4 linked regions of the Oreochromis niloticus genome follow. The protein of the gene in region 4 purifies or fractionates together with the protein of the main gene of each other region. This does not show direct contact. Links are inferred from orthologs where the notes say so. Each region holds a gene or a part of one and is shown on either strand. Other genes may lie near its edges.

Evidence for each region.
Region 1: the proteins of anapc4 (region 4) and ccna2 purify together in Homo sapiens (affinity purification with western blotting; 3 studies listed by BioGRID). This does not show direct contact. The link is inferred for Oreochromis niloticus from reciprocal best matches to the Homo sapiens genes ANAPC4 and CCNA2.
Region 2: the proteins of anapc4 (region 4) and anapc7 purify together in Homo sapiens (affinity purification with western blotting; 14 studies listed by BioGRID and IntAct, with this or other methods). This does not show direct contact. The link is inferred for Oreochromis niloticus from reciprocal best matches to the Homo sapiens genes ANAPC4 and ANAPC7.
Region 3: the proteins of anapc4 (region 4) and mad2l1 purify together in Homo sapiens (affinity purification with western blotting; 14 studies listed by BioGRID and IntAct, with this or other methods). This does not show direct contact. The link is inferred for Oreochromis niloticus from reciprocal best matches to the Homo sapiens genes ANAPC4 and MAD2L1.

What each region holds. Positions count from the first base shown.
Region 1 is NC_031966.2:11,829,591-11,837,210, forward strand, and holds the start of ccna2 (cyclin-A2), read left to right. Parts: upstream 1-4,611; 5' UTR 4,612-4,758; exon of another isoform or gene 4,759-4,780; intron 4,781-4,870; 5' UTR 4,871-5,096; coding exon 5,097-5,306; intron 5,307-5,812; coding exon 5,813-6,071; intron 6,072-6,152; coding exon 6,153-6,259; intron 6,260-6,431; coding exon 6,432-6,655; intron 6,656-6,745; coding exon 6,746-6,950; intron 6,951-7,024; coding exon 7,025-7,138; intron 7,139-7,367; coding exon 7,368-7,501; intron 7,502-7,607; coding exon 7,608-7,620. Other genes in the region: BBSome complex member BBS7, read left to right, coding at 333-497, 611-720, 830-933, 1,181-1,304, 1,409-1,542. UniProt on the Homo sapiens protein: Cyclin which controls both the G1/S and the G2/M transition phases of the cell cycle. Functions through the formation of specific serine/threonine protein kinase holoenzyme complexes with the cyclin-dependent protein kinases CDK1 or CDK2.
Region 2 is NC_031977.2:6,444,866-6,452,590, reverse strand, and holds the start of anapc7 (anaphase-promoting complex subunit 7), read right to left. Parts: upstream 3,020-7,725; 5' UTR 2,903-3,019; coding exon 2,802-2,902; intron 2,319-2,801; coding exon 2,132-2,318; intron 1,599-2,131; coding exon 1,479-1,598; intron 825-1,478; coding exon 713-824; intron 550-712; coding exon 396-549; intron 304-395; coding exon 161-303; intron 24-160; coding exon 1-23. UniProt on the Homo sapiens protein: Component of the anaphase promoting complex/cyclosome (APC/C), a cell cycle-regulated E3 ubiquitin ligase that controls progression through mitosis and the G1 phase of the cell cycle.
Region 3 is NC_031967.2:3,973,056-3,980,429, forward strand, and holds the start of mad2l1 (mitotic spindle assembly checkpoint protein MAD2A), read right to left. Parts: upstream 3,005-7,374; 5' UTR 2,867-3,004; coding exon 2,803-2,866; intron 2,338-2,802; coding exon 2,191-2,337; intron 857-2,190; coding exon 736-856; intron 1-735. UniProt on the Homo sapiens protein: Component of the spindle-assembly checkpoint that prevents the onset of anaphase until all chromosomes are properly aligned at the metaphase plate.
Region 4 is NC_031986.2:37,123,560-37,130,419, forward strand, and holds the start of anapc4 (anaphase-promoting complex subunit 4), read left to right. Parts: upstream 1-3,860; 5' UTR 3,861-4,124; intron 4,125-6,214; 5' UTR 6,215-6,222; coding exon 6,223-6,330; intron 6,331-6,428; coding exon 6,429-6,534; intron 6,535-6,615; coding exon 6,616-6,748; intron 6,749-6,834; coding exon 6,835-6,860. UniProt on the Homo sapiens protein: Component of the anaphase promoting complex/cyclosome (APC/C), a cell cycle-regulated E3 ubiquitin ligase that controls progression through mitosis and the G1 phase of the cell cycle.

The sequences.
Region 1 (7,620 bases), on a different chromosome or scaffold from region 4:
TCACTTTATTATGTGTTTGTAGTGAAATGACATGGAATTTCTAATTTTGCTTCCAGTTTTTAGCAGCCACATAATCTCCTTGGTGGGTTTAATATGTTTTTTATCATTTTTTTTGTGTTGAAAATAAATATGATTACTTACTTCTTGCTTTTAGTAACCTCTACTATGTTTTTCTATGAGATATGTGACATCAACTCTGTGTTGTATGTATAGATTACTGTTAATAGCAGCAACACAGAAATGTTCTAACACAGTTCTTTTATCAGGATTTCCCTTTTTTCTCATAAAACCATTTGTTCTCGTTTCTCTTTGCTTTTCTCACTCTATTTAAGGCCAATGAACAGGCTCAGTCTGGTGGGGCAGTTCAGTTTTGCAGAGATCCACTCCTGGGTGGTTTTCTGTTTGCCGGAGGTACCTGAGAAAACACCCGCAGGAGACAGCATCACATTTTATTTCCACAACACCTTCCTTGGCACACAGCTTGAAGCCACCTACTGGTAAATGCAGGCACACAGTAGACAAGCTCTAAACTACATACACTTTAAGTTTTTCAAGAGTTTAATAGGTAGTTTCATATAGTTTAATATATTGAACCATTTTGTATTCGCAGCAAAGGGGAGGGTCACTTTAAGTCTGACAACATCTCTACGATCTCCATACTGAGTGATGTTCTGTCTAAAGAAGCTACCAAAAAGAAAATCAATCTCAACATTTCGTACGGTAGGTGTATCATTGTTCTATTTCAATACCATCTGTCAGGTTTTATTTTTGTTTTGTTTTTTTAACAGACGAAATGGAAAACCTGTATTTATGTTTATTAATCTTCCAGAAATCAATGATGACTCTGTGAGCCACACCCTTAACATGATCCATCCAAAGCTGGAATACCAGCTGTTGTTGGCTAGAAAAGTTCAGCTCATCGATGCTCTTAAAGTAAGTGTAAAAGCAAAACAGATATCCGTTCCTTTGAACTGTGTTGTGTAAATTTGCAGTAAAGTGACAACTTTATTTCCATTGCATCCCTGCCAATACACTGTTGAAACTGTTGCAAATCTGCTGTGCACAGTTTAGTGAAACGATACAGTTTGCTCAGATGTTTCTTTGAGTGTAATTTAATGAAGCTACTAATATTTGCTTCCTATTTCCCAACATGCGTCTCTACCTCCTCTGTGGTCATCAGGAGCTTCAGGTTCATGAGGGGAATGCTGATTTCCTCATTCCAGAGTATCGCAACATCTTGGATGAATCTGCTAATCTCCTTGAAGAGTACAAGAAACAGCCAGCACACCTTGAAAGGCTTTACGGTGCAGTGTTTTAACAGTTTCATGTAACTGATCTCATTGTGATCCTTACCGTATTAATATTGTTGGCCTATGGTAGTTAATATTTTTCATTCTCTTTCCTGTAGGAATGATCACAGACCTCTTCATCGACAAATTCAAGTTCAAGGGCCAGAATGTAAAAACCAAGGTGTCCGCATTGCTGGAGATACTTGATAACTATGACTTGAATTCTCTGTTAGATTTTTTTAATGAGGCCTAAGTTTTTAATAGCTCAGAAGGTATTCATTTACTTGTCTTTGAATGTTTGTGCTATTTTTGTATTCTAATGAAACACCTGTTTCATGGTAGTATCTCTGTGTTTATGTAATGTTATTAAATATATTTAGTTAGTGTTTGTCATAGCTACCGAGCACAATATTTAAATATTTATGTCTTTTAAAGTATCTGGAAATAACTACAACAAAGTTGCCTATATGAATAGCTGAAATTTGAAGTGACCAAATATATGGTTGTTAAAGAAACATGTGATGTATATTTTTATGTTATGGTTTTCATAGGACTGATGTTCATTTCTTCAAATAAAAATGAAATGATGTAAAGTTCATCATTCAGTGGAATAATGCTACTACAAAAATCAACTTGTATAGAAGAAGACTTGCATAATACAGTGAATTTTAACAAAGAGCCAATCAAGTCTCATTCATTAAACGTACATCTACACTATCATGGATAGCAAATCTATAGATTGCTTCTATTGTCTGATAGAAGCAGAAGTACCAGAAATCAAGTCCTGCAAAATCACACTAACGCACAGTTGTGGAGGTTAATTGAATACATATACTTTGAAGGACTGAAAGTTCCAAAGTACTTTTTCCACAGAAATTGTATTTTTTGCTACTTTGTGACTTTACTGTGCATTACCATTTATTTGGTATCTAGTGTCCTTGCACTTTTAAATTTGACATACAAGTAGTTTAGAGAATATAAAGCAGAGGCAGATTTAGCAGTTTGCATTGTCATTTAAATTGATGCCATCTGAAACGCTCCCTAAAAGATGAGCAAATATATATATGTAACATGCTCTTTAAAGGGGAATTTCCTTTATTATTGTAAGTATATTTTGCTGTTAACATTTAGTGAATATTTAAACATTATATTATATTAAAGATTAAATATTTAAGCTTTTACTTGCAATAAAATACTCGAGGTTATTAAAATTGTTAACTAAATGACTGGATAGAATAGAATAGAATAGAATAGAATTCAACTTTATTGTCATTGCACATGCACAGGTACAGGGCAACGAAATGCAGTTTGCATCCATCCAGAAGTGCTTTAGCCGTGATATAGATATATTACAATATATATTAGCAATAATAGAGATGTGTAAGTATATTACAGAAATGGGTCTATTATGGTATGTTATAATGTACACAGTGTGAAGTATGTTATGAATATTCTATAACTATAAGTATGTACAGGCTGTAGTGAGTACAAGCTATGTACAGGCTATGAACAGGATATAAATATGAAATAAAAACTATACAGAAATCTGAGATATACAGTTATACAGAAATGTGAACTATGTAAGTTATAAACAGTTGTAGGATTAAAAATTATCGTATGTACAGAATGATTATTTACACAGAACTATACAGTAGTGATAAAGTGCTAGTGGTTGTGGGTGTGTGTATGTTCAGTCCATGAGTTTAACGTGGGTCAGATGTCAGGAGGCAGAGTTCAGGAGTCTGACAGCTGTGGGGAAGAAGCTATTCCGGTACCTGGTGGTCTTAGTCCGGAGGCTCCTGTAGCGCCTCCCAGAGGGCAGGAGGGTGAAGAGTCTATGTGATGGGTGACTGGGGTCTCTGATGATTTTCCCAGCCCTTTTCAGACACCGCTTCCTGTAGATGTCCTTTATGGCAGGAAGTGGTGCTCCGGCGATGCGCTGGGCAGTTTTCACGACCCTCTGCAACGCCTTCCGGTCCGAGGCAGAGCAGTTCCCGTACCAGACTGTTATACAGTTGGTCAGGATGCTCTCGATGGTGCAGCGATAGAAGTTCACCAGGATGTCTGAGGACAGGTGGTTCTTCCTCAGAGTCCTCAAGAAGAAGAGGCGCTGGTGAGCCTTCTTGACCAGCTTGGAGCAGTTGGTCGTCCAGATGAGATCCTCGGAGATGTGGACTCCCAGGAACTTGAAGCTGCTCACACGCTCCACAGCCGTCCCCTTAATGTGGATGGGTGGATGTGGGTCAGCATTCCTCCTGTAGTCCACGATGAGCTCCTTAGTCTTCTCAGTGTTAAGCAGCAGGTTGTTTGTGTCGCACCACTCAGCCAGACGATCCACCTCCTCCCTGTAGGCTGTCTCATCGTTGTCGCTGATGAGGCCAATCACCGTGGTGTCATCTGCAAACTTAATGATGGTGTTGGAACCATCAGCAGGTCTGCAGTCGTGGGTGAAGAGGGAGTAGAGGAAAGGGCTCATCACACAGCCCTGTGGTACACCGGTGTTCATTGTGATTGTAGATGAGCAGCAGTTATCCAGCCGGACATGTTGGGGGCGGTTGGTCAGGAAGTCCAGTAACCATTTGCAGATGAGGGAACTGATGCCCAGGTCTGTCAGTTTCCTGATGAGTTGTGAGGGGTGGATTGTATTGAATGCTGAACTGAAGTCTATAAACAGCATTCTGGCGTAGGTGTTGTTGTTGTCCAGGTGTGAGAGGACAGAGTGCAGATGGATGGACGTACAGGATGGACGTATAGTTCAAACTGCTTTGTAAAAAATATTTAAAAACAGTCATATCAGTAAAAGCTGACGTTTAGTTGAGTTTATAGCAGTGACTGCCTGTTCATATGTCATATGTCAACCATAGCGGTCCACTATTTATGCAAAAGTAGAAGGATATAAACTTTGGTTTTATGTGCAATTTACAGACAGCAAATAATTCGTTTCAGACTGATTTTAAAGGCAAGCACACTCACTTAGCCAGGTAACAACTTCTCTGATTATGTATTAATTAAAAATTAAACTATAACCAAGCCAATTCAAAAAGTGGTTTAATTAATTTTTGTATTGCATGCAGTTAGTACTTCCCAACACAAGTCTTCAGTCAGATTACAAATGGTTCAGATAAACAAAATGACTAAATGCCTTGGGTAAACTGTGTGTCTGAACATTTATGAAGACAGCAAAATAAAAAAGGAAAAAAATAAGATCTTATCCTCTATGCGTGCATTTGCTACACAGGCCCAGCTGACTTAATAACGCGATTTTACGATCAAACGTGCCAAACCGGTTTTGAATTTAGTAATCAGAAGATTATTGTACTCTTCGGGTTCCCGTACATTTTACGCGTCACTGCCTACGCGGCTTCTGATTGGTCTGTTTCAATCCTCGCGGGCTACTTGAACTGAGAGAAAGCTGCAGTCTTTACAGGTTTCTGTGTAAATGGATCGAGGTTAGCTCCCTTGTTTCCAGGTTGGTAGTGAATTCGAAACTCGTGAGTTATGGCCACTTAAATTGTTGTTTTTCGACTGTAGTCATTGTACCGCCGATTGTGCATGTCTTGTTTTTGTCTGCTTTGTTTTAGCACGGGGGTTCCAAGTGTGGTTACCATCTCAACAGCTTAGTTTTGATTGTGAACAATTATTTAAGCTTTCTTGGCAAGGCAGCAGCTAATGATAACCTCGCTATAATTATCCATATACTTGATCCCTTTCTCCACGCATCATATTTGAGTGCTCATTTCCCAGGAGAACAAGCACCCAACAATTGTAGTTAAGCTAGCGGAAGGCAGGCTGGAGTTGGAGGGCAACATGTCAGGCGCTAACAGAGCACAGGGAAGCGCGGCTAGTGACTACCAGAATCAGGAAAATGTACTGCAGAGACTCAGAGGCTCGCTCAAAGCCCGACCTGTGGCGTCTGAAAACCAAGAAAACCTTCCTCCGAAGCAAGCCGCCAACAGAACCGTGCTAGGAGCCCTGCAGAACAACCAGAGGAACAAATCCCAAGTCGGCGGAAAACAGGTAACAATGCTAACTGGTGGCTGCTTAGCTGGTGCTGCGGTTTGCTGTTGACTACATGTTTTGGAGGCAATACATTTTACCAAGTCCCTGCTTGTTAAAAATACTTGCTGCTTTTCTGATTTCTTAAAACTTTATATTTACAAACTCGCGAGTGTAGTTGTCTACGCCCCGTTCCCACCAATTGACCGCCATTTTAATATCAACATTAACGTGAAGTCAGTCATGTAGTTGGCTGCTTAAAACAATAGACATGCCTTCTTGAGGGTGCTTTATTAACGTTTCCCTCCCGCCAGTAGAGATAACAATTTAGTATTAACATTTAACCTGACTGGTGTAATATCATCTGAATGTTCTCAATCAAGTGCAGAACACTTCTTGTTCTAATGAGCAGTCTTCATCTAACCACTAAGTTGAGCAGCATGCATGCCCTTGGATGGTGTTGCTGTTTCCAATCTAACAAGTTTCTATCCTGTGGGCCATGGCTGAATTTTTCTCTTCTATTCCAGGATTCCACACAATCCCTGTCTTGTAAAAATGAAGACTTTGGGAAAAGCTGCTTTGATAAACCGCTGGCCAAGCAACCCGCTTTCCAGATCCATATTGATGAGCCTGATGGAGCCTGCATCAAGAAGCCACAGCAGGCAGTTGAGAGTATCAAAGCAAAGCCCACAGTTGAAGAATCCCCACTGGCGATCAATGCTGTGGCACGGCTCCGGCAGCCCCTTGCCACTATTGAAATTCCATCAGCGATGGATGTCAGCTTTGGTGGGTTTAAAGGAAATGATGCTAGCAACTGTTACTCTGATCTGGGTTTTTACTGGTTACTAAATGTAAAACTCTTCTCAGATTCTCCAATGGACATGTCTGTGGTTGAGGGGGAGGAAAAACCAGTGAATGTAAATGAGGCCCCAGAATATGCAGCTGAAATTCACAGCTACCTGAGGGAGATGGAGGTGAGAAATTAGCATACGAAGTGGTAAAGCTGAAAAGCATATCAGAATTTGCTGGCAGTGCTGCCTTCTTGGACACGTCCCCTGGCAACATTTTCCAACCTCAACCTGTTGATGGTGCTTATCTGATCCTGTTTGCAAACTGGCTCTTTCTAACCAGATTGTCACCCCACAGGTGAAAACCAGACCTAAAGCTGGCTACATGAAGAAGCAGCCTGACATCACAAATAGCATGCGAGCCATTCTGGTTGATTGGCTGGTCGAAGTTGGCGAAGAGTACAAGCTCCAGAATGAGACACTTTATCTGGCTGTTAACTACATTGATCGCTTCCTTTCCTCAATGTCTGTCCTAAGAGGCAAACTTCAGCTGGTTGGCACTGCAGCTATGCTGCTAGCTTCGTATGTACCCATTTATATGTCAGTTTCTACAAATGTTCAAAGCCCACTAATTCGCAAACATTACAGTTGTTCCTTTTGAATGTTTTACAGGAAATTTGAAGAGATCTACCCACCAGAGGTGGCAGAGTTTGTTTACATCACAGACGACACCTACACAAAGAAGCAAGTGTTAAGAATGGAGCATCTGGTGCTTAAAGTGCTCTCGTTTGACCTGGCATCACCAACAATAAACCAGTTTCTCACTCAGTACTTCCTTCAGCACACTGTTACCAAACAAGTGGAGAGCTTGGCAATGGTGGGCATGACATTTCTGTAATCTTAAAATGATCTAAGTGCATTGTCTAAACATTTGTTGTTTTTCATCTTCAGTACCTTGGTGAGCTCAGCCTGGTTGATTCAGACCCCTTCTTGAAATACTTGCCATCACAGACAGCAGCTGCGGCCTATATCCTGGCCAACACCACAGTGACTGGTGCCTCATGGGTAAGATCTATAGACCCATACAAATGGGGAACTGGGAGGTATTGGTCTGTGTATATAGGTGGAAATGCCAATGTTGTCCAGCAGAACAGCCAATAACTGCAAAACTTGTATCCACTCTTAACTGCGGTTTAAAGTTGATCTTGTCAAAGTTCATGCAAGCTTTAGTTTAGTGTGGGAAAATGTATTGGTATATTTGAAGACACAAACTGACCAAAGTTGTGCTCCTTAGCCCAAGTCCTTGAACGAGATGACTGGCTACTCTCTGGAAGATCTGATGCCATGCATTGAGGATCTTCACCGCACATACCTCAATGCCCCTCAGCATGCACAGCAGTCTGTCCGGGAGAAATACAAGGGCTCAAAGTAAGTCAGCAGATTTGCTTAAACTTCAAGGGCAACCTTTGTTTACATTTGGAGCTGTCTGATTATATAGTGCTAGATTTTAAGTCTAAACCCTTCTCTTCCACAGGTACCATGAAGTC
Region 2 (7,725 bases), on a different chromosome or scaffold from region 4:
CAGGTAGCCATAAACATCCATACCTGAAAAAGCAAACATGTTTCCACATCTTTCTTTATTAAGGCTACTTAGACCTGTGTGACACACAGAATATGATAATAAAACTGTCATCAACTACAAAATACATGTGTAAGTCAAAAAGTTCTCTCCTGTAACGCACCTTTGATGAGGTAAGGGTCCAACATCTGGGCTTGTTCAAATTTGAGAATTGCATTTTTCGTGTCACCTGCCCTGAAATAGACATCTGCCAGGCTCACCAGGAGGTCCACGTTGTCCCGCAAAAGTGATTTCTTCTCCAAAGAGCTGAGAGTGTTTCAGGGAGGAAGTTAAGACTGTCACAAAACATGGCTCACAATATTCAGTCACTGTGTACAAATCATTATTGCTTTGCTCACCAAATGGTATTAATAGCTCTCTGGTTATCCCCTGCATGTATGAAGGCGTACGCTTTGATCCAAACAGACAGCCAGTCAAGGTTGGGGATACTCTGGATCGCGTCCATAGTCATGGAAGCCACCTCGGCTCCTTTGACTGACAGAGAGAGAAGACCTAAAGGAAAAACACATTTTTCAATTGTTTAAAAGAGATGCTAAATCCAAGCAGACAGTTTGTTTTAAAGCGGCATGGACATAGGAGAGGACTGCAGGTACAAACATCTTAGCAGATGAAGTGCTGCTTGCGAGATTACAGAGTCTACGGTGAACATGCATACCAATGATTGCATCCAAGGCAAGAGGGCACTGTCTGAGGACCTCTTTGTAACTCGTCACAGCAGATCGCTCCTGTCCAGCTTTCCTGTACAGGTTAGCTAGCATCATGTTGATCTGAGGCAGGAAGGAATGCAAAAAGGTAATTACTACAACTTATACAAGTTACTGCACTTGAGCTGGTTTCAAAAGGTTAAATAGAGCTTCATACAGTTCCATATCATATGAGCCCCATTTCAACAAAACTGGACGAATAACTTAGGAAGAGTAGAGTTCTGAAAACTAGTACACAACACTGCTTTGGCCCTAAATTTACCAGAATTCAGGGGTCAGAATGAATGTAGGTAATTTCTGATTTCAATTAATGACTTCTGTTCTTATAACTAATACCCTAGCATATCATGAAAACCAACCAACTAACAAATTTTAGCATCAGTGAACAAATTTTAGTAAGGTTTGTTAAGATTCATTTCAGTCGTATTTTTGACTGTAGACCAGTCTTTGGCTTCAAACTGTAACTGTCACACTATTTCCAATTAACAGATTTCATACTGCTAGTTTTTACTTAGAAGGTGATTTTACTTTAAAACAACTACTGCTGAATTGTTACCAAACCTAAACTTGTAGGTACATTCATTATTTAGTTCTAAAGCAACTATTTGAATTCACACAGTTACTAGTCTAATCAGTTAGTATAAAAAATAAATAAATACATAAAACTAAAGCATGAGGTAAACAGTGACTGACAGTCACTGTGTTAACAGACTGTACCTTCGGAGTCCTCTGTCTGGATGGTATCCCATCGAGCACTGCAATGGCATCTTTATCCAGTTTCAGAATGGTGTAGCACTCAGCTATTTTGTACTTTACCTCAATCTCTGAAGGCAAACTCTGAAAGACAACATTCATTGTAGATGTACATTATTCTAACCAGTCATCCTGTGCTCTGGATATTCATGTGGTGCTGCAGGACATCTAAAACCATCTTTACATTTAAGGCATTTTAATAAATCACTGGCAGGATGAAAGCCTTAGATTTACGTTGTGTGAAAGTAAAGTAAAATGAGATTTTAGTGTTGTTAAAAAAACAAACAAACAAAAAAAAACACAACTGCAGGTAAAGACACCTCAAATTACCAGAATGTTAGTGGCTGATAAGGATCTACATTACTCCAGTCAAACTTTATCAAATGTAATTATTAAATGTTTCAATGAGAAAGGCAACTTTTAATTACTATGGAAAGAGTCAAAAATTCGGGAGAGATGTTGGGCGTCAGCAACCCTAATGTTCAATTCTGTGTCAAGCCAAGCCAAGCCAAAGATTTCTATAACAAATTTAAAATAAAAAATAAAATCCCCCAGGTGACCAAAGTGCTATTATAGATTTCAGGGGTTTTTTGTTTACAGGAAATTGTCAAACACACCTGTGCCTGTATGTTAGAGGCAGCTCCACCAGTTGAAGTACGAACTTTTGATGTTTTGCTGAGCACCTTCTTCTGTTGCAGAGCCATGCTGTATTTGCAGGCAGCGTTGCGATACTCTTTGTCATGGAAGATGGCATCAGCATGGTAAACCAGCAGCTGGTACTTCTGAGCCGGCGAGAACAGCTCTCTTCCATTAAAAAAAACAACAACACACAAACAATAAAGTGCTCAGACTGAGGAAAACCATCAAAACTGAATGACACACGAAAAAACATCAATGCACAAACTCATAAAAATTGTCCTACACAGTTACCGTTTTTAAGTCAGTCACTCTAGAGTGTCAAAAGTATGACTGGGTAAGAGAACATTTACGACAAGTTTTCTAATACAATACTAGCTAAATTTCAAGCTATTTCATAGCAGCATTGTTAAGTGCATACGCTTGTAGATGCGACTATATAGTGAAGGAGTACACACAGTGTAAACAATGTATATAATTTAAATTGCACTCGCATTTAAACACTATCCAATAATGAGTGGATAATGAAAAGCTTCAGTAGAAATAATAATGTTAGCTGTTGTTGACTAGTTAGCTTGGGGGTATCGCTACCACTGGTATTGAAAAGCAGTCTTCGGGAATTAGACGGTTCCCGCTCAGACCACGACTTACGGATTGTTGTTGCTCATCGTCAGCAACAAACTACTCAAAATCCGGACATTAGAGTAAAGGCCTGCTGCAGCCATATCCCGCACATAATCTATTACATTCATTTTGGATTATTTGAAAGGCTCGCTGTAGGTGTCCGGCTCAGGTTAAAAGTTTGGGCTCTGGAACGGCTAATGTTAGCTAGCATGTGACGCATAAGACGTCCAACGGCTGACCTTCCTTCCGCATAGTGCTGCGTTTAAATGCTCTTCAAAAGCTCGTATATTTTCAAAACTTTAAAATAAAAACCTGCCTGAAATCTTTGATGTTGAGTAAAATAAGTATTTTATCGACTTTACTTTTATTTTAGGGACGTTGGACGAGAAATTACATTTTACAAAATATTTTACAGACCAAGGCGTCTTTATTTAATTATTCTAAATTTGTTGAATCTCACATGTCGCGATAGCTTTGAATGCATCATATTTGTTTTTGCTGCAGCACTATTTTTAAAATAGTTGGAAATTTTGTTTCAACTATTGACCTAAACTGTCGTATTTTATCAAATCACGCTATTGCAAAATTCTGTAATAAAAGTACGTGATATAATTATAATATATTAAAACAGTTTACATTGTCGCTAATCTAATATTAAAATATGAGTCAAAAACAAAGGCTTCAGACTACCCTATATGCTAATTTTGAGATAGTGGATGAAATATAATGAAGGTAGCAGTGAGCCCCACTATTATACGAATAAGGATTATTTTGAACTGTTAATGGAGCTGGAAAAGAGTATAACACGTTCTCTTTAATGCAAAAGAACGGTGAGCTTAATATATCATCTGATTTTCTTTAGATGTGTACACATGGTAGCTTTCCAGTAGTGGATTTCAAAATATTATTTGGTTTTCATATGTACCTGTTTTCAGTGATATCAAGTTTAATAGCAGGAAATCTTTTTCAAGTAACCTATATTTGACAACAGCTTAATAAAACTGGAAATTCTGTTTTTGGTGTGCCACCCCAATATTTTAGTGGCCCCCATATGGCCACCCTTTTAAAAATATTCTGGAGACGCACCTGCTTAAGAATTGTCCATAAAGATACCACTTGAATAAGCACTGTTACTTGGGTGGACTCAGGTAAACTGGGACACTTTGGTGAATTGCGCTGTGTTGAGGTGATGTTTTACATTATAACTGTTCAGGCACTGCACTTTTTTGTGTGATCACAAGTGTTCAAGTAAAAAGGGCAAGTGAAAGGACAACGTGAAACAGAGATAACTGGATGAATTTTAAGATAATTTTAATTGAACATAACAATGTAACCTTGCATTTCAGTTACATTAAACTCCCAAATGTTACTTGCTCAAAGTTGCTCAAAAGCTAATTTTGCTGACTTAATCCAAGCAATGAGCTGCCACTACGTCTAAATGATGTTCAGCAAAAAAAAAAAAAAGTTTGCACATCGGTTCCTCCAACCAATATTTAGGTTGGACTGAGACTGCCAAAACCACAACCTAATAGACTTTAGTATGGCTACAAACCACACAACAATAATGATAATAAACTGTACAATAAACAACAATCAATCAGTGTAAATCATCACAAAAAGGTGTCTGTAGCTATTTGAAAAGAGAAAACACTCACTAACAATCATAGTCTCCCTGAGAACTGACCTCAGATGCTTTATCTGAATGGTTGGGGGTGGGGCTGGTACACATTTACCAGCCAGTGGAAACTCTTTCAATGATGAGGATGTACACATCCTGGGCAGGGAGGAACACTAGCTTGAGCAGGAGTCAAGAAGGCAATTTACGTGAAAAGGGAAAGACCATCTCTGAACTGAGGAGGGGGCCTAAGGGTACATCTTTCGCCATCTTACAATGCTGTGATTGCAGCCATTCCCCAACTCTCTGTGAATGGTACTTATGGCCATTGATCAATGGGCTTCGATCAATGGTCATGGCAATTTGTATATTAATGATCAAGGAACTGACCTCACAGCCCATTGTTCATTCAGTGGGCTGGTTTCAGTCATTGTGCAACTGTAGTGTTTATAAGGTTCGGGAATCCTGCAGTCAGCTGAGACTGAAGAAGTGGATGAGTGACGAAACGTTTCAACCACTGAAAACGCTACGTCCAGATGAACAGATTCAACCTTCTGGGACATTTACCAGTTTCATTCGTACACGCTACAGTCTTATTGAATCACATCTACACATCTCTCCCCGAACGCATTGGCGAATAATTTTGATTTTGCTGCAGTACAAGACTGATACAGTTTTCCAGTTTGTTGCTTGTTGATTTAAATGTTGCTTTGAAGCCACACATAAACACAGTCGACCGCAGGCGCGCATGCGTACAGCTCAGGCTTGTGTCAAAACACAGAGGGAAATCAGCAGCAGGCACGGGCAGCATTAAGATCTCAGCTCGGTTTGTTCGGGTTTAGCTCTTCTCTTCGTAAAGTGTTTGTCTACACGGAGTGCTTTTTTTCAACTGCGCGTGCATACCATGACCGAACAATCAGCATTGCTTCTTCGAAAACAACTGGCAGGTAATAATAATGTAAAACTGTAAGCAAATAGAGCCGACATAAAGGCTCCATACCTTAGCAGCTAACGTTAGCTTTTTTGTGGCTTGGCAAAGCTGTGTTTACGCAATAGAAGTAAGCTCAGAAAGGTAGCCGAACAGCATAATGGATTCCTTTATCAGTCTAGCTGAGTGTGTGGCTAAGCAGCTTTGAATAGCTTACCTGTGTTGTGAATAAATACATAATTTTGAAGTATACTGAGCTCAAAAACACCTCAAACAACACATTGCAGGACCAGTCTAGCTAGCTAGCTTGCTAGCAAGTTGGGCATTAGTTAGCTAACGGAACAAAGGAATAATCAACCAGGCACTCATCTGCTCTAAACACTTTAGCGTTGTTAATGGTAGCGCTGTGCACCGCAAAGGTTTCATAGATCTATATACTAATACATCAGTATTATGGATTTGAAATTGCAAATCCATAATATAGCCACTTAAGATACAATCTAACGTTTCTGATATCAAATATGGCCCGGAGTCTAACGCGGGAGGCAATCTATATTAGTATTCAAGCCCTCAATGCTGAAACTCTTATTGTTCTCCTTTTGAAGTCTTTTCAGAGATGTAGTTGATTTTATTGCTGTTGTGCCCCGTAAATGACACATGGATTCACGAGTCTTTAAAACCCGTGGTATAAAGTTTGGTTTGCAGCTGCGTGACTGTCCAGTTCCTTCAGTTCTCATCTTTTAAAAGTAAACCAATACCTCAGTCAACACTTTGCTATATGAGGTGCAGCTTTTCATTTAATGACTTTAATGCTATAATTCAATTATAATTTTACCCGATAGGGTAAAAGAACTTAATGCAGCATTCAAGATCAGGTGATGAAATCTGCCGTGGATCACTAAAATATAAAAAACAATATCCGGGAAATCGTGCAATCTTAATCATGTAAATGATATTAATTCACTGTTAATACACTGCAGCCAAACTGGTCCATTTAGCTAAAGTAACACATTTTGTGAGTCCAATTTCAGCACACGACAAACACAAGTGCTATGTATGTTTGTATATAGCATGCTGTATTAAAATGACAGCATCCAGTTAAAATGACAGCATCCAAGTGATTTGGGATTTTGCACCAACTGACCATCACATACAAATATTAGTTACTCTGTGTGTGGGAAAATGAATCATTGACAGTGTTTGATGCAGTTTTTCTTTTCAAGTCAGTGATTCATATCAGCGGTCTTCATTATTTTTGGACATCACGATTCGATTCTGTAAACAGGTTGTTCAAATGAAAATTTATGGAGTTTCAGTTTTTGCTCAACTGTGAAGTAAAGGTTCATCTATTGTGTTCCCATAGTTTTCATGTTTGTATTCAATTTATTTGTTTAGCCATATCAGGGCCATATTATCACCTCTCAATGACATAACACAGAGCTAAGAGTTATTAAAAAAAAAAAACAACTGCCTGAAACAGAGCATTTAAATCAGCGTGAACCCTGAGCTTTTGGGTCATACTGATTAATTGTACATATGCTGACATAATTTGGTCATCTTTATTATGAATATCTATTGTATATGACATCAAATGAGGAAAACCACAGGTCAGTGGTCAAGTAATTATTCCTGTTATTTTTATTTGAAGACTTTCTGTGGGCTGTATGTGTTGTTGGTGCATCGTATCATAGAATTTCTGTGGACATCCACACTGTTACAAAAAATTGGCAGGACTCTAGCAGGCTTACAGACACGAAGTATAATTAAGGCTTTAAAATGAATGGATGTGGAAAGTAATCTTTCTGTTTCTTCAGTCCTTAGCAACAGACTGCTCCCATGGAACCAGAGTGTAAGATTGATCTATTTCCTATAAGACCAAGGTTAAAAGAGTGCTTCAAGAACATGCCATGTTGAAATATAAAAAACTGAGATATTCGTCATAATGCCTTGTGTGGGTCGGTCTCTCGGTGGCTCGGGAAAATTCAATCAGCTCAGTTGAGTGTATATAGTACTTGTTGCTGATTCATTTTTAGTCACCTGCTCTTTGTGAATTCACAGATGCTAGATACCTCCCACAGTGAAGTGTGTCAGCATCAGTAAACAACGTGGGCTTGCAGTTTACATGATATCCACCAAATAAGTGTCTGGGACTCCAGCACAGATTTGTTTTCCTCTGAAATTATGTGCCACGAGTTTGTCATAATAGTTTATTTCTGCTGGGTTTTATTTACTCAAGTTTGTTTACATAAGTGAAAAACCAGAGCTTGGTTACCTTGTCAGTATGTCAGCTGCATCATGTCAGCTTGTGTTCTCTGTTAAGCTGCTACCACTTTCCCCCTAGTCTCTTTTACTTGTGTACTATTGATGTCAGCTTAACTGATTGTTATGATACCAAAATTCTGAATATC
Region 3 (7,374 bases), on a different chromosome or scaffold from region 4:
AGAACGCGAAAAAGTCCCGGATGTGTTCTCGCTCCGCCCGTTTTATCGAGCATGCATCGGTGTGGACTTGGTACAGCTAAATATCCCAGAATGCATTTCGTCCAAAACTCAACAGCGGACTCCGGGCACATCGTTTTCAACCCCCCCGCTCGCGGTCTTCTCACTACTCAGGTTAAAGAAACCCCAGCAGCTGTCTATAGTATTGAGTGTCCACTAAAATAAAAATAAAGCGTTCTAATTAATTTTTATTAATAGAGGTTCCACTACTGAGGTTAAAAATGATATATAAGTCACTTAGATCACTTCTAAATGTTAATGTTTGGTTTATTTCAGTGTTTTATTTGTTCCTGAGTAAACCGGTTTGGCTGTGATTAAAGTTAAGCTTCATAACATGTTACTCACAGTTAAATTAAGAGGGGACGGCAGTAAAAACTCCGGACCTGTGACATCATCACGTACACAGGTGTTCCAATTGTACATATCGCGAGTCCGTGCTCGCGTTCTCGGCGGGTACGTACTCCCGTGTGTTCTCGGCGAGTACGTACTCACCGAGAACGCGAGTACGTACTCGCGTACTTGAGAATTGAGAAACGGCCATCACTCCACTCAAACCGATGGTGGGGGAAGTACAAGTGCAACATGCCAGGTGTTGGAATTAGATGAGACAGCAAATTAATGACCCTTCGCATGGAGCCTTTTTTTTAAAAAAGAAAAAAGTCTAGTAGAGGTACTGACCTGCTCTCTTTAGCAGACTTGTCGCACTCAATGTCAAACTGCCATCTCTCGAGCACCTCGTTGGTTTCCAGACATGTAATCACCAACACCAGCTTTTGCACAGTGCACTCAAAAAGCCACTCTGCAACACAAAAAGAGCAAACAAATTTTTAATGATGTGTTGTCATGAAAGGTGAGAGATAGTTAAACTCCCTAAAAACATAATACAAAGATGTAGAGAATTTTGTATCCACAACTATATCCAAAAGATCACGAGTTCTACGTCTGTGAGAAAAATAGCCATTCTGAATATGGGCTGTAAATGCAAATGTACACTAAATATTGTACACATTGTGGCAAGAATGACCACCCTCAACCATAATGTCTTTATCTAACCAACATCATCAATAATTCAGTAACCATTCTGACTAACACCAATTCTTAAAATCCCAATAATCAAGTTAAAACATCTTTAGAACTTAAAGGAGAAAAAGCACTTATACTCTGTGCTCCTAGATATGATTTGTATTCTGTAATTTTACTACTCTTAGCATTACACAGTTGAGAGCTTCAGTGATTTGACATAAGCACCCAAAAATATGAATATTCTGATATGAATTACATTAACTAAATTTGAACTGAAAATCCAGAGACATTTATTCTATTTAGTTTTATTTATATTGCACTAAAAATCACAACAGTCACTTCAAGAGACTTTATACTTTAAAGTAAAGACCCCCACAGGCTTAAAAAGAAAAACAATCAGATGATCCAAGAACAGCAAGCACTAGGCATTGATGGGAATGAAAAACTTCTTTTCAACAGGAAGAAACCCGAGGAGGCAGCCATCAACAGTTGGGGGCATTGGATTTAAGAACAAAATAAAAAATAAAATATAATATTACAATGGCATCACCTTGGACAGAAAAGGGTGCACCGATCTCTTTCCTCATTCACACACATAAGTATTTATGGCAAAATCAAAAATTGGCAAATCAAAAATGAAAAAAAAAATCTAAGTGTTTTTAACCAGAAATAGCTTGTAGTTCACCTGACAAGAGCCTAAGAGTAGCTTAACACAAATTTGTGTAACATGGGAATGGAAACTCACGTGTGCTGCTTTGTATGTTACTTAACGTTGATCATAAGATGCCAGGTCATACCAATTAAAATCTCAGGCATGAGTCTAATAGGCATCTGAGTTCATCCAATTCAACACAACAAAAAGGGGAGGGGGAAATGCACCACCATGTGGCCCTACTCAGAAATCGCAATTAACAAGTTACTATAAACTATCATTTATTGAGTAAAGACCGATAACCGAATTATCAAAATAAATAGACAAAATCATTCATTGTTCACAAACATCATCTTATTTTGTATTTCAGTACGGCTTAAGCCTTTACTTTTTCTTGTTGAGTTTTTCCACTTTCTACTTGGTTGTGTCACGAGTGGAGAAGCCCACTATTGAGATACCTTTAAGTTGAGACACCACGTTAGTCAGATAGTTCTTCAGCTTGAGGTCAGTAGTGAGTTGGAGACTCATGTCATAGTGGGTAACTCTGGTAAATGTCTCTGGAGGATAGATGCCCCGTTGGTACAGGATGCTGTTGATGCCGAAAGCTGTTTATGACAAAGGGGGAAATCAAAGGGTTCAAATACGCCAGAATTCTAGTATTCGTAAAATTTAGAGGCTTATGTGGTTCAAACTTAAAAGGGATAGAAGAGTATAAAAACAACTACACACAAACAGCTAATAACACGAGAGAAAACTAACTGGGAATCAATGAATATATTAGCTCGGCAGAATAGAAACCATATATGGTGTACATTCACGATTCTCACTACAAGGGCCGAAAACTAGACAGTCTTTACAAATTATTCGGTTTGAAGTTGTGAATTGACGCTTATAGGATACGTCAGGCTTAAACACTTTATTTTTGATCAACAGCTTGTCATGTGAGTGCATACATGCTGCGTTGATGCTAATATGTTATCGGGCACTATGTAGGCCCAATAGCATATTAGCTTTACATGCATGCATGTCGAAAACGAGCGACTAAAAGATGAAATAACAGAAATACTTACAAAAGAACTCGGCTACTAACTCCGCGCTTCCTTTGAGAGTAATTCCCTTCAACGTGCTTGTCATTTTCTTAACACTTTGGTTGAGTTCTCAACAATAAATATATTGTACGTTTTTCTTTTAATTCTTCTTCTACGTCTTCCGACTTCAACTACCCGCCACCCAGTTTGAATTTTGTCAGCTTCCACACAATTGCGCATGCGTGTGAGATTGGGGCGCAAGGTTGATGACGTCTTAGGTTACGCTTACAATTTTGCGACACTAGAGAGCAGTGTAGAATAATAATTCAACGCCACGGTCTGAACGTTACACAGGATTGTTGGCATTTATTTATTTTCTTATGTTAAAGCCATTTCTATCTTTTAATTGACTGTATATTATTGTAATGTGTCACTGTGCAAATGACTGAAGTAATAGGTTAATATTGTAGATACCACGTTTTAATAATCCTAAAGGGGTCCAAACAACCATTGTATGCAGACTTGGAAAAGTCCCTCAGCTTTCACACAAAAGAATCAAAATTGCAAAACAAAAGAAAGACAATTTCAGTTAATGCTAGCTTTTAAGTCTTGTTGGCGCTGTACTTCTCTTTTTGCTATGTGCTTTTTTATATATATATCATAGATGTTTTTTTCTCAGTCAGTAATTGGCTTTTTCTTTCTGGAGGAAAGCCATGCGGGACCTGCACACCTCCAGGACCACTAAGTGGGCAGATTAGATTTGACCAACTTCTCCCAAAATTAATGAAAAGCTTCGAACCTTCTTTGGGAAACTTGTGATTCATGAAAAATGGCTTCTTTCCAGCTGCAGCTGGTCTCATTAACAAGGTCCCCACACAGACACAGGATATGAACACCACACATCAAACTGTCAGAAAGTATTATTATTTACACATCTGTTAACCTTCACTTCTAATTCGTACGTTTCATTTACATTTGAAACATCAGACAGTACTTAGTAGGTGAAAATTTACAGTCATTCATATTTAGGTCAGGTAATGTTTTTTTCTCAAATTTCTATTTCATATTTACAGTGTTTTGACTATTATGGTACTTGGATTTTCTCACACTTTGTATATTTTTTTTACATACCCCAGTGATCTCAGAACTTTGTTTTCCAGACAATTGTTCCCTGGTATCATCTCCTAAGACAAATTGATTTGGGTGAAGAGTCGAACGAACTGTGATTCAGAAGATACCTATGATGATAAAACCTATGAAATATGATACCTCTTCCAGGAAAGGGATACCTCAGCCCTACCACTGAGGGGCCCACTGGCAAGTGTATGGTGGCCAGGTCATAACTCATGGGGACCTGCCAGACTCTGACTGAATTATCCACATGGGCCAGTCTGTCTAGTGGGCCCACCACCTGTAGGAGAGGCTGTAGGAGTCAGGCACTATTTTGCTAAGGGAGGGGGTGGACTGGTTCTAGGAGGGAAACAGCTGGAACTTATACCACAGGTTGCAAGATAGGAAATACATATGTATGGCCTCACCTCAGTGGGGATAATAGGTTCTGAAACCAATCTTTTTTTGAAGTACTGCCCACAACTAGAGTTGGTTTTGATGAAAGATAAATGCAGAAAAGTGTATGCTCATATGTCAACAGTTAGGTACTTATATATTAGGGTTCTCTCCAGTGAATAAGACATTGCTTCCTGCACCTTCGGGTTGGGGAATGGGTCCTGGCTGTTTTGCACATTTCCACATATGCAAAACAAACAAGTTGAGCTGCTGCTTTTCTACAGCTGAGCCATTTGAGGTGGTTTGGGCATCTGATCAGAATGACTACATTCTTCATTCTCATCAGAATGATGAGAGGATCTCTTCTCAGTTGGAAGTTCCCAAAACACTTTACGTAGGAGGTATTTTGGGAACTTCCAACTGAGAAGAGATCATTAGGCAGACTAAGAACATACTGAAGAAATTATGTTTCTCAGCTGGATTGAGAAGATCTCAGTGTCCCACCCAGAATACCTGGAGGAGATGGCCAAAGGAAGGGAGGTCCCAGGGTCTCTGCTGAAACAAAGGCTGCAACTGGGACCCATATTAGCAGGAGAAAATAAATTCTATTCTCACTACTTGAGAATAGAATTACTTGAAGCACACACAACTCTGCATTAATTGCAGTCACAGACTCTGGGCTACAGATCCTTGCATACATCCTTACATAAAAAGGCTCAAGAGGATTAAGCACATTCAATGGACCCATAACAACAACACATCCTTCCATAAATTAGCTTTTCAAGTTCCCTGTAGATGTTCTAAAGCACTTCTTAATGCAGTCCCTTCAGCTTTCCTCCTAGCTATAGAAGGTAATGAGGTAACTCATCATGCATGTCATAGCCTGATGTCTTTTTCCTCAACCACAAGCATGTTGCCATTCATCACTGGAGTCTCCAAAAGCTCATTTAAGTCTTTTTCTCTATGACACAATGTGCAGTCTTCAACTTGTATCATCTTGCATCAGCTGATTCAGCATCCAAAAAGTTGTGAAGCAGTGTGAAACCTAAATATAAACAAAATACAATGATTTGAAACCCATATTTTATTCATAATAGATAATAATAGACATACAGAACCTGTAAACAGAGAAAATGTACCATTTTAAGGAAAAAATGAGAACATTTTGATTTTGATAGCAGCAACATGTCTCAAATAAGTTGAGGCGGAGAAGCGGTGATGACCTTCTTGCCTGTGAAATATTAATTTTTTATATTTAAAATTGACAGTATTTTGTGCTGTTGACATCTAAAATTATTTCATAATTGAGGGCAGTTGTGACTCAGGAGGGAGAAAGGCTTATTTATCGGTCAGTGGTTTGATCACAGGTCCTCCGGTCTACATGTCAAAGTATCATTGGACAACTTACAAAACCTCATGGTGTTTCATTCATGCAAATGTGAATTTGTGTGTTTATGTTACACAAAGGATTAATATTAGACAAAGCATTAGAATAGCAATACTGTGTGAAAGTTCAGCATTTGATAAGTTGTTTATCATGAATTAAATTTGAGGTTAAATTATATCTAAATGTTGAATTTCGTCTTTCTTTATCTTTTCAGTTGTTACTCTTCTGTAAAACAACTGGCCTTTTCGCATTGCAAAACCTGTATGCAGTCCATCACTCAGATCTGATTTTTAAAGTTTTTGCTGTCATTCCTGTGTGACCATTTTATTAACCAGTTTAAGTTGGAGATGGTAGGATAAACGATAAATCTATATTCCAGGTTTGAATTATACAAGTTGCAATTACAGTAATTAGCCACATAAAGGCAGTAAATCTAGAGACATAGTGTTAGGAGAACTGTAATCTCTCAAATAGTGTTGGTTGGCTTGAGGTCATTTGTAACTTCAGTCCAGCCCTCATCTTCGAGAGCCAAACTGGTATCACTCGCAAAGCCTCTGTTGGTCTGTATTAACAGCTCTGTGGTTTTGTATCAAAGGACTACAGTCCCAGTCATGTTTCATAATAAAGACTGTGGGTGCTGGCATCAAGCCTTCTCAAGAATTGTTCTGGCGCCATGAATCTGGCAAGAACACCAGCAGATACTGGACTTTGATCAAAGCCTGTTAGCCATTTTGTTAGATGTGATCAGACAATGTAGCATTTGATAACTCCTCAAAAAAACCTTACATAATCTTTAAAATGTAATACAAATGTGTTAACAACTACACTGCAGAGTCACTGATAATAATAAGCTCAGTTTTTAGCTAAATAAGCCAATGGAGAGACAATATTTTTTACTGCTAAAATGAACATCTCTTTATTGAAAAAATATAGTACATTATATCTATATCAGATCTGCATCCACTGAGCTAAATGAACTACGTTCATAATGGCTGATACCTGTACCCAGCCAGCCATGTGGGGCTTGTTGAGCTTTTCAGTCTGTTACTATTTTCAGAACCTGGTGGAGTAACTAGCAGATGCAGAGAAGGCCAGGTTCAGTGGGGATGTCTTTTTAAAGGTCACCCCACCTCCTGCATGCTGGTTGAAACATTTTTTAAGCTAGGCCTCATTCCAGCTCAGAAACTATAACACAAACAGGTAATGATTTAAATTAATTTCAGAATTAGTAAATGTATAAATAAAACTAAATTGAACTTTAGTCTATCACAACTGTTTGTCTGTTTTGTGTTTCTGCAAATACAGGAACACACAACACACATCCCACTGTGTTGAGAGTTGTGTGAGGGAAGATGACTGCATGTACAAAAAATGGGCTGTTCTTTTTGAGGAAATAGCTTTCTAACAACCAGGTGTTATCTTTCTTTTGCCTCCTAAGCTTCATCTGGTGGTTCTGGAACAAAGTCTTCACTTCTTAAATGAGACTAATGAACTCCACAGTGACCAGAAAGTGCACGTGGAATGCATACTGTATTGTATTTCATCAACATTCATAAATTCCATACTTGTTTGTGTGTTAGACCGGGCATACAGCCAGTTTCTTCATTTCAGTTGTGTTGAGGTACAGCTTAGCACTGAAGCACTGAACAAGATGACAAGGTTGTCTGGACCTTTACTTCTGAATTAATCACAGGAGTAATGGGACACAAGAGAGTACAAGA
Region 4 (6,860 bases):
AAGCATACCTTCGGGTGTTCTGTTCGTCCTCTGTTTGCTCTTTCCTGGTTTTGTGGGTCCAGGTTTGTCTTGTTTAAGTAAGAATGAGTCGAAAAAGAAGCTTCTCTTTCCAGAAGAGCAGCCTTATTGGTCAGGCAGGCAGCAGGATCTCTCGGGTTCAGGGTCCAATAGCGTACTGCCTCTGCAGTGGCCTGCTGTCCCATCTGTCCCGGTCCCTAACTGCTCACTGTGTGGGGCTATATTTGGCCCCTGGCTCAGGTTTCACAGCCAGAATACTGGCACGAAGAGATAGTGTTGAGGTAGTCCAGGGGAACAGGAGGCGGCGGTGACATTTTTATACTGAACCAGTATTTGTTAATTAAAAACTGTAAAGCCATGCTGTTATAATACTTCAGATTGCACACCTGCAGTGTACTCCTATAAGCCCTTACCAGTAGGTTTACAACACCAACTAATCTGTGTAGTCAAGATAAATAATATGCATCCTGCAGAGTATGTCATTCTCTATCTAGTTGAGCCATCTGACACTAAAGTGACTTGTTAGTGTTGCCTCTGTGCCCAACTGAGCTGACCCACTGACCCCAGACCCCCCGCTAGCTGGTTTGCCTAGAGGCATGGCATCCTACAATGGTCCTGGGACCAACACTTGGGTCGAGCTCAGGGTTCAGCTTCAGTTTAGTCAAGGTCAGTACTGTAAACATAGCAGTAAAGGTCTAAATGCAAGTGATGGCTCCAGCATTCATAATTTAATTCCTTACATTTTAAGAGCATCAGAGAAAGATGGCAACTGCTTGTCACAGGGCTCATAGCCTCTACGGTGATGCCACTGTACATTTGACACAAGACACTGTGTCAAATGCTACAGGGTGGAGGTAAACAACATATAAGCAGATGTTGTTGCTTTTGATAAATATATTTATTGTTCAAAAGCAGGATGCAGAGAAATATGAAAAAGGAAACAATTGCGACCAACTACCTGCGTCAAAAAAAAAAACCCAATATGAAATAAAGAGCAGCAACATTCTTACTCCTAATTTGACTAAACAAAAGAACAACACTGTGTGGTGTTTGTGGGGTGCATCTAATTGTGTGTTTAAACCTAGCCAAACCACTGGCACTAATCATTACTTCAAAAACACAATTAACTTCACCTAGTATCTGCTTGCAACCTTGCAAGGTCCTATAGCACACAGTTAAACTTTGCCCATGCATATGGGCAGTAATAGTAAAATTGCAGTTTGTAATTTATAGCGACTAGTGACAATTTTGTGCTTTACTGTAATGGTACACAAATGCACCTTTTAAAAAAGGTATTCAATTATGTATAGGAAATACGCTATTTATATCGTGGTTCATTCACCAGCTGCTTTGGATGTTATCAGTACATTCAAAGGACTTTATTAACAGTAATCAGCTCCACAGATATTAGCCAGTACACTTGGAAATGAACACGGGCATTTGTATAGTGCTTTTCTCAAAAGCTCAAGGCTTTATTCATCTCATACACATATCCACTCTTACTGTGTATGTGAGTGTAGAGTATAGACATGTGGAGATCCATAATTAGCCCTACAAGGTATATATGTGTCAACTGTGCCTATAGAGAGACAAAAACGGACTTTTACTGTACTCTATTTTTCGTGTAAGGCCAGTACAGTGGGGTAGAAAGACGCAGACAGTGAAGGGCCATGCAGCCTCACTTGATCTATTTATGGGCCACTATCACATTTTGTGCTCTCAGAGCTATTCTGGTTCTTCATCAATCCACTGATTACAGTCAAGAGTAGGTGATAAGTCTGGAAGGAATTTCCTCTGTAATAACTATCTAGTCTGCACGCACAGACACACCAGCTAATGAGTAATCTTACATTCAACTTGCTTGTCATCCTACCCCACTTAGCAATAACTTTGTAAGGTATCATTTAAAAATAACCACATTATTTAGCAATGACTACTAAGCATTACAGTTTGTGGTCTACTGTATGTAAGAATAGCCATGGAACATTTCCAGCAATCCTTTATGGGCTACCATGTGTGCAAAAGGTCTTCCATCATAAATTATATTTACAGTGTTTTGGTTATAGGCATATGGTCAGACATAGACATCATTTGTTGATGCTTAGAAATATCAACACATCTATGTATAATTGTGTAATGTATAATTTTGTATAACATTAAGCCACCGAGGTAGAATTAATTTTTTAAAGGGCTTTTAACAGCTAAAAACAACTTACAAAAGTACCTGTCTAATACAAAACAGTAATCCAGGAACACACAAGGAGTTTGAGAGCACACAGGGCCAAACAGGGACAGACAGACTGACAAGACTATACAGGGCTCACTCAACACATGTAAAACTAATGAGGTCAAGGCAGACAATCACAAAGAAAACAAAAACCTTGGTTGCCTGGAATGTCAGAAAAAAGGTAGGGAAGAAAACTAAGACTACAACAAAACAGATGGAGACAAAGACAAGGAAGTACATGAGACACTAGGAATAAAAGAAAGGATATTTAAAAAAATCAGGGGCCAAAACTCAAACATGTGAAAGGAAACCAGAACTACTACACACACGAATCCAAAAGGTTAATGCAACAGAGAATTAAAAGGTTGTTCTTTTGACACAAAATAATGAAAATGTGTTCCATAAATAAACCAGGTATACACCCAGGAAGTCAAAAGCTCCTGAGTTATTTATTACAGCTGAAGTGTTTCTGCTGTTTCTACTGCTGCACAAAAACAGACATGTTAAAACGTGCATAAATGAATGTGAACAACACAAAACAGTTTCTTTGCAATGGATTTCTGAAGATTAAGAATGGCTAAAACTCTTTAGTGTCAGTTTAAAATGGCTTTGCACATCTGTCTGCTTTTTTAAGTGCTAAAAACCGTTTGCTTCAGTCTTCAGTTGTTTTTAGACTCATTAAATTCAATCATTAAAGAATACAGACATAAAATTGACAAGTCTCTGCTTTTTTTAGTTGGTGTATAACAATACAGAAAGGGCCATGTGTTGCATATAACAATGACAATGACAATTTTATTTATATAGCACATTTCATTACATGAAAAGTCGACATGAAAATGAAAAAATATTAATAACTCTGTAGGTTTAAAGTGCCCTAAGGCAGTGAAAACAGCAAAGCAGAACAAAACAAAATTTAAAAAAATAAAAAATAAAAAAACAAACAAACTTATAAATTGTAGGACTGTGTGAATAGAAAGGTTTTTACTCAGTTTTTGAATGTACATACAAATGTAATTGGTCTCAAGTCAGCAGGTAGCTTGTTCCAAAGAATAGGACCACAATAACTGAACCTACCTTCAGCATACTTAGATCTGATTCTAAGAACAGTTAAAAAGTCTAAATCAAATGACCTGAGAGGTCACACATAGCATTGCAATAATCTAACCTACCTGATGTGAATGCATGGACCAGTTTCTCAGAGTCAGCTTGTGATGGAAGTTTTCTAACCTTAGACATATTTTTAGTCAAGGTAACCTTATTGATGGGATTATCAAAACTGAGATCATTGTCCAAAATGATGCCAAGGTTCCTGACTTGCTCACTGTGTTTCAGAGAAACTGATGACAAATAAGAACAAATTTTTTGTCTTTGACTTTTTGGACAAACAACAAGTATTTGTATCTTGTTTCTGTTCAGTTCTAAACACATTTGATAAATTCACTAGTCAATGTAATCGATGCAGCTCATTAGTTTGTGAAAACATTTTAAATCATCAGAGGAGAGAAGTGAGAAGTACAACTTTGTGCCATCTGCACTTTTCCAGTTGTCATTTCAAGTTTCATTAAATTGCGTTTCTCTCTTAGTAAATTTGTCCCTTGCTTTCCGCCGTCGCTCCGCAATGATTGGTTAAAAGAAAAAAATGGCGGCGTCCGCGTAGTTGTAAAAACATCGCGAAGCCGCCTTAAAATTAAAATTTCGGCGGCGCAAGACAGTTTGGAACTCACTGTGTCGTATTATGGTTATCATATTTCCCCGCTTGTAATGTCCTAAATCATAAAAAATATTATCCATGGCCTTCTTTCTGCATTAGCTTGCTAGCAAAACCGCTAGCATAATATCAGTGGAACAGAAAGATCTCATCTGTCAGCTTTAAACGGTAAGTGAAGCTTCAGATTAGTTTAGATTTAGGTTGTGGTTTAGGTTTAGATATTTTATTTATTTTTATTTTTTAATGCCTGGCTGTTTTTAACAGAGATCATAAGAAGTAACCTCATGAGGTTCAGGAACCTGTCAGAAAACTATAAAGAAATCTGATTTTTATCAGTCAGTGAATCTGTTTATCTTAATGCACTATAACAGTGTTGTTTAATATGATCTCCATAATCATATTAGAGGTCCACGACAATACAGATACAGATTTATGACAACTTAAAGAAAAGTTCTGAATCTTTTGACCCTGTGTTTAAGGGGATCTTTTTTGGCGTATGAGATCATTTTACGGGCATGGTTTGGCTCCACTTGCCCCCTTTGGCCTGGGTGTTAAGCATAACTCTCAAGGAACAGTAGTGACCCACTGAATGCCTTTGCAGTGGGTAAAAATTACAGTTATGTCAGAAATTACTGCAGTTTTTCAAAATAATCTGCTGTCCCTTTTTTCCTTTAGAAAGCTCAGCGTATTTTCAGATTTTGTTTCAGTTTTTTTAATCATAAAGACATTCAATTTTAAATTCAATTCAGTTTTATTTATATAGCGCCAAATCACAACAGCAGTTGTCTCAAGGCACTTTGATATGACACCCCAGTACAGGGGCCAGTTCAGTATTCAGCTGAAAGTGGTGTGAGTGTTGTGTAGTGGTTACCACATTCACCTTCTTTTAAAGCTCCCTGGTAAGTGAGAGCGTTACGTCTGGTGCAAAATCTGCCAAATCAAACTCGTGGATTCATTTTATTTTCAAGGGAGAAAGGGGGGCCAAAAGTTACCAGCCAGTGGTGTGATTTACACCTCTGCAGGCTGAATTTGATCTAAGAGGCTAATGCCCTGCTACCTTTTCTCAAACACCCCTACCTGTCTGCTTCCCGAAATACCTGTACAGAAACTGTGGTTCACTACAGAAACGTTTTCTTTGGACAGGTACAATGAGTATGTTATCTGCAGGTTATATTAATTAATAAAGCATTAATACTTCAAGCGCCGCTCCGAGCTGGCAGCGAGTATCAGCAGCTCCGACCTGACCGAGTCCTTTTTTCTCTTTAATTATTCTATATGTTTCATTTAATTTTTGCAGAGACGAGCATCAGTAAATAATGATCATTTAAAAAAAGTGCACTCACAAAAATGAATCAGGCATTAGTTACATCTATCTTAGTATATCTTATCTTGTGTCTTATCTTGCTTGAAACAGCCCACGGCACAAAAAATAAACAGAATGGTGAATCAATTAAAAAACAGCCTGGTGGTATCAGTGTTTAAGAAGGTCACTATACTGTATGTACTAACCTTGAATTTAAGGCTAAAAAGACAGCTGTAATATTGAGATGTTAATAAATCATCTAGTTATTTTATATATAATTTTTTTTCCTCTTCATTCTCTTATAAAAGAGACGACAAGGAACATGTTATAACTGGAAAAATATATCTACATGGAAATTGCATATATTTTTAAAGACATATTAGACTCTTTAGAATCTACATTTTAACACAAGTAACTGTAGTTTCAGAATGTATTTGTTTAGTAATTTTTCATTCTTAGCATTGATTTGCAGAGAAGAAATCAATGCTAAGGTACATTTAATGTGTTCTGGCAGCACTTGGTGGCCAAACATCTTACTAAGAGACCTGACTTTAGTTTTTCCTTCAACGTCAACAACACTAATAGTACAAATAATTAGCTAAAAAAAAATTGAAGCTGTTAATTAGTTAGTTTTCTGTACTTTTTGCAAATAACCGATTGATAGTAGTGTCTGATTTGTGAATTGTAATAATATTGTTGATCAGTATCACAGTGAAAAATGTATTTTTTTCAAGGGAGGTAATGAACATACTATTTGTTTCTGCTGTCAAATAAAGAGTTTGACATAAGCACAATAGTGTCATTCTTCAACAAAGGCTCAGCTGATTTTTTTGGCTCTGACACAAATAAAAGCAAAACTGTACAGAGAAAACGTTCACGAAACGCTTAACAAAAAATGTGTTTTCCAAGTATTTTTGAAAGCTGATATCTCTTATTTTTATTAACATTTTTTCAGCCAAGAAAATGCCTGCCTTTCGGCAAGTAGGAGAGAAGCAACTTCCTAACCCTGTACTGTGTATGGCATGGTCTCCCAAGAGGGATCTGATTGCTCTGGCCAACACAACTGGAGAGGTACTATTAAAACAATTATTCTGAAACACAGCTCCGTATTCTGTGTGTGTGTGTGTGCTTTTTAATACTTTAAATACTTGGCTTATGTTTTTCCATAGTTGCTGCTTCACCGCTTAGCTGGTTTCCAGCGTGTTTGGACCCTACCACCCAGTGAGTATACTGGGAAGGAGATCACAGCAATTGCCTGGAGACCAGATGGCAAAAGTAAGGAGTGACTGTGTGCATCTTTTGCTTTTTTCAGTCATGTGTTTGATGGAATCATGATGTAATATATCCTCTCTTCAGTTTTGGCATTCAGTCTTGGAGACACTAAGCAGGTAGTCCTGTGTGATGTTGAGAAAGCAGAGATCCTCCATGTGTTTCCTATGCAAAGTCCTGTAACTTGCATGCACTGGATGGAGGTGATTGAGGAGAGCAGGTATGCATCGATTGAGGCTCAGGAACCAAGCCAATGGTGTGGAGGGTGTGTAGAATAATGAGAGTGATTGTTTTGATGTGTTTCAGTGCCCTCAGCTCTTTTTACAACTCAG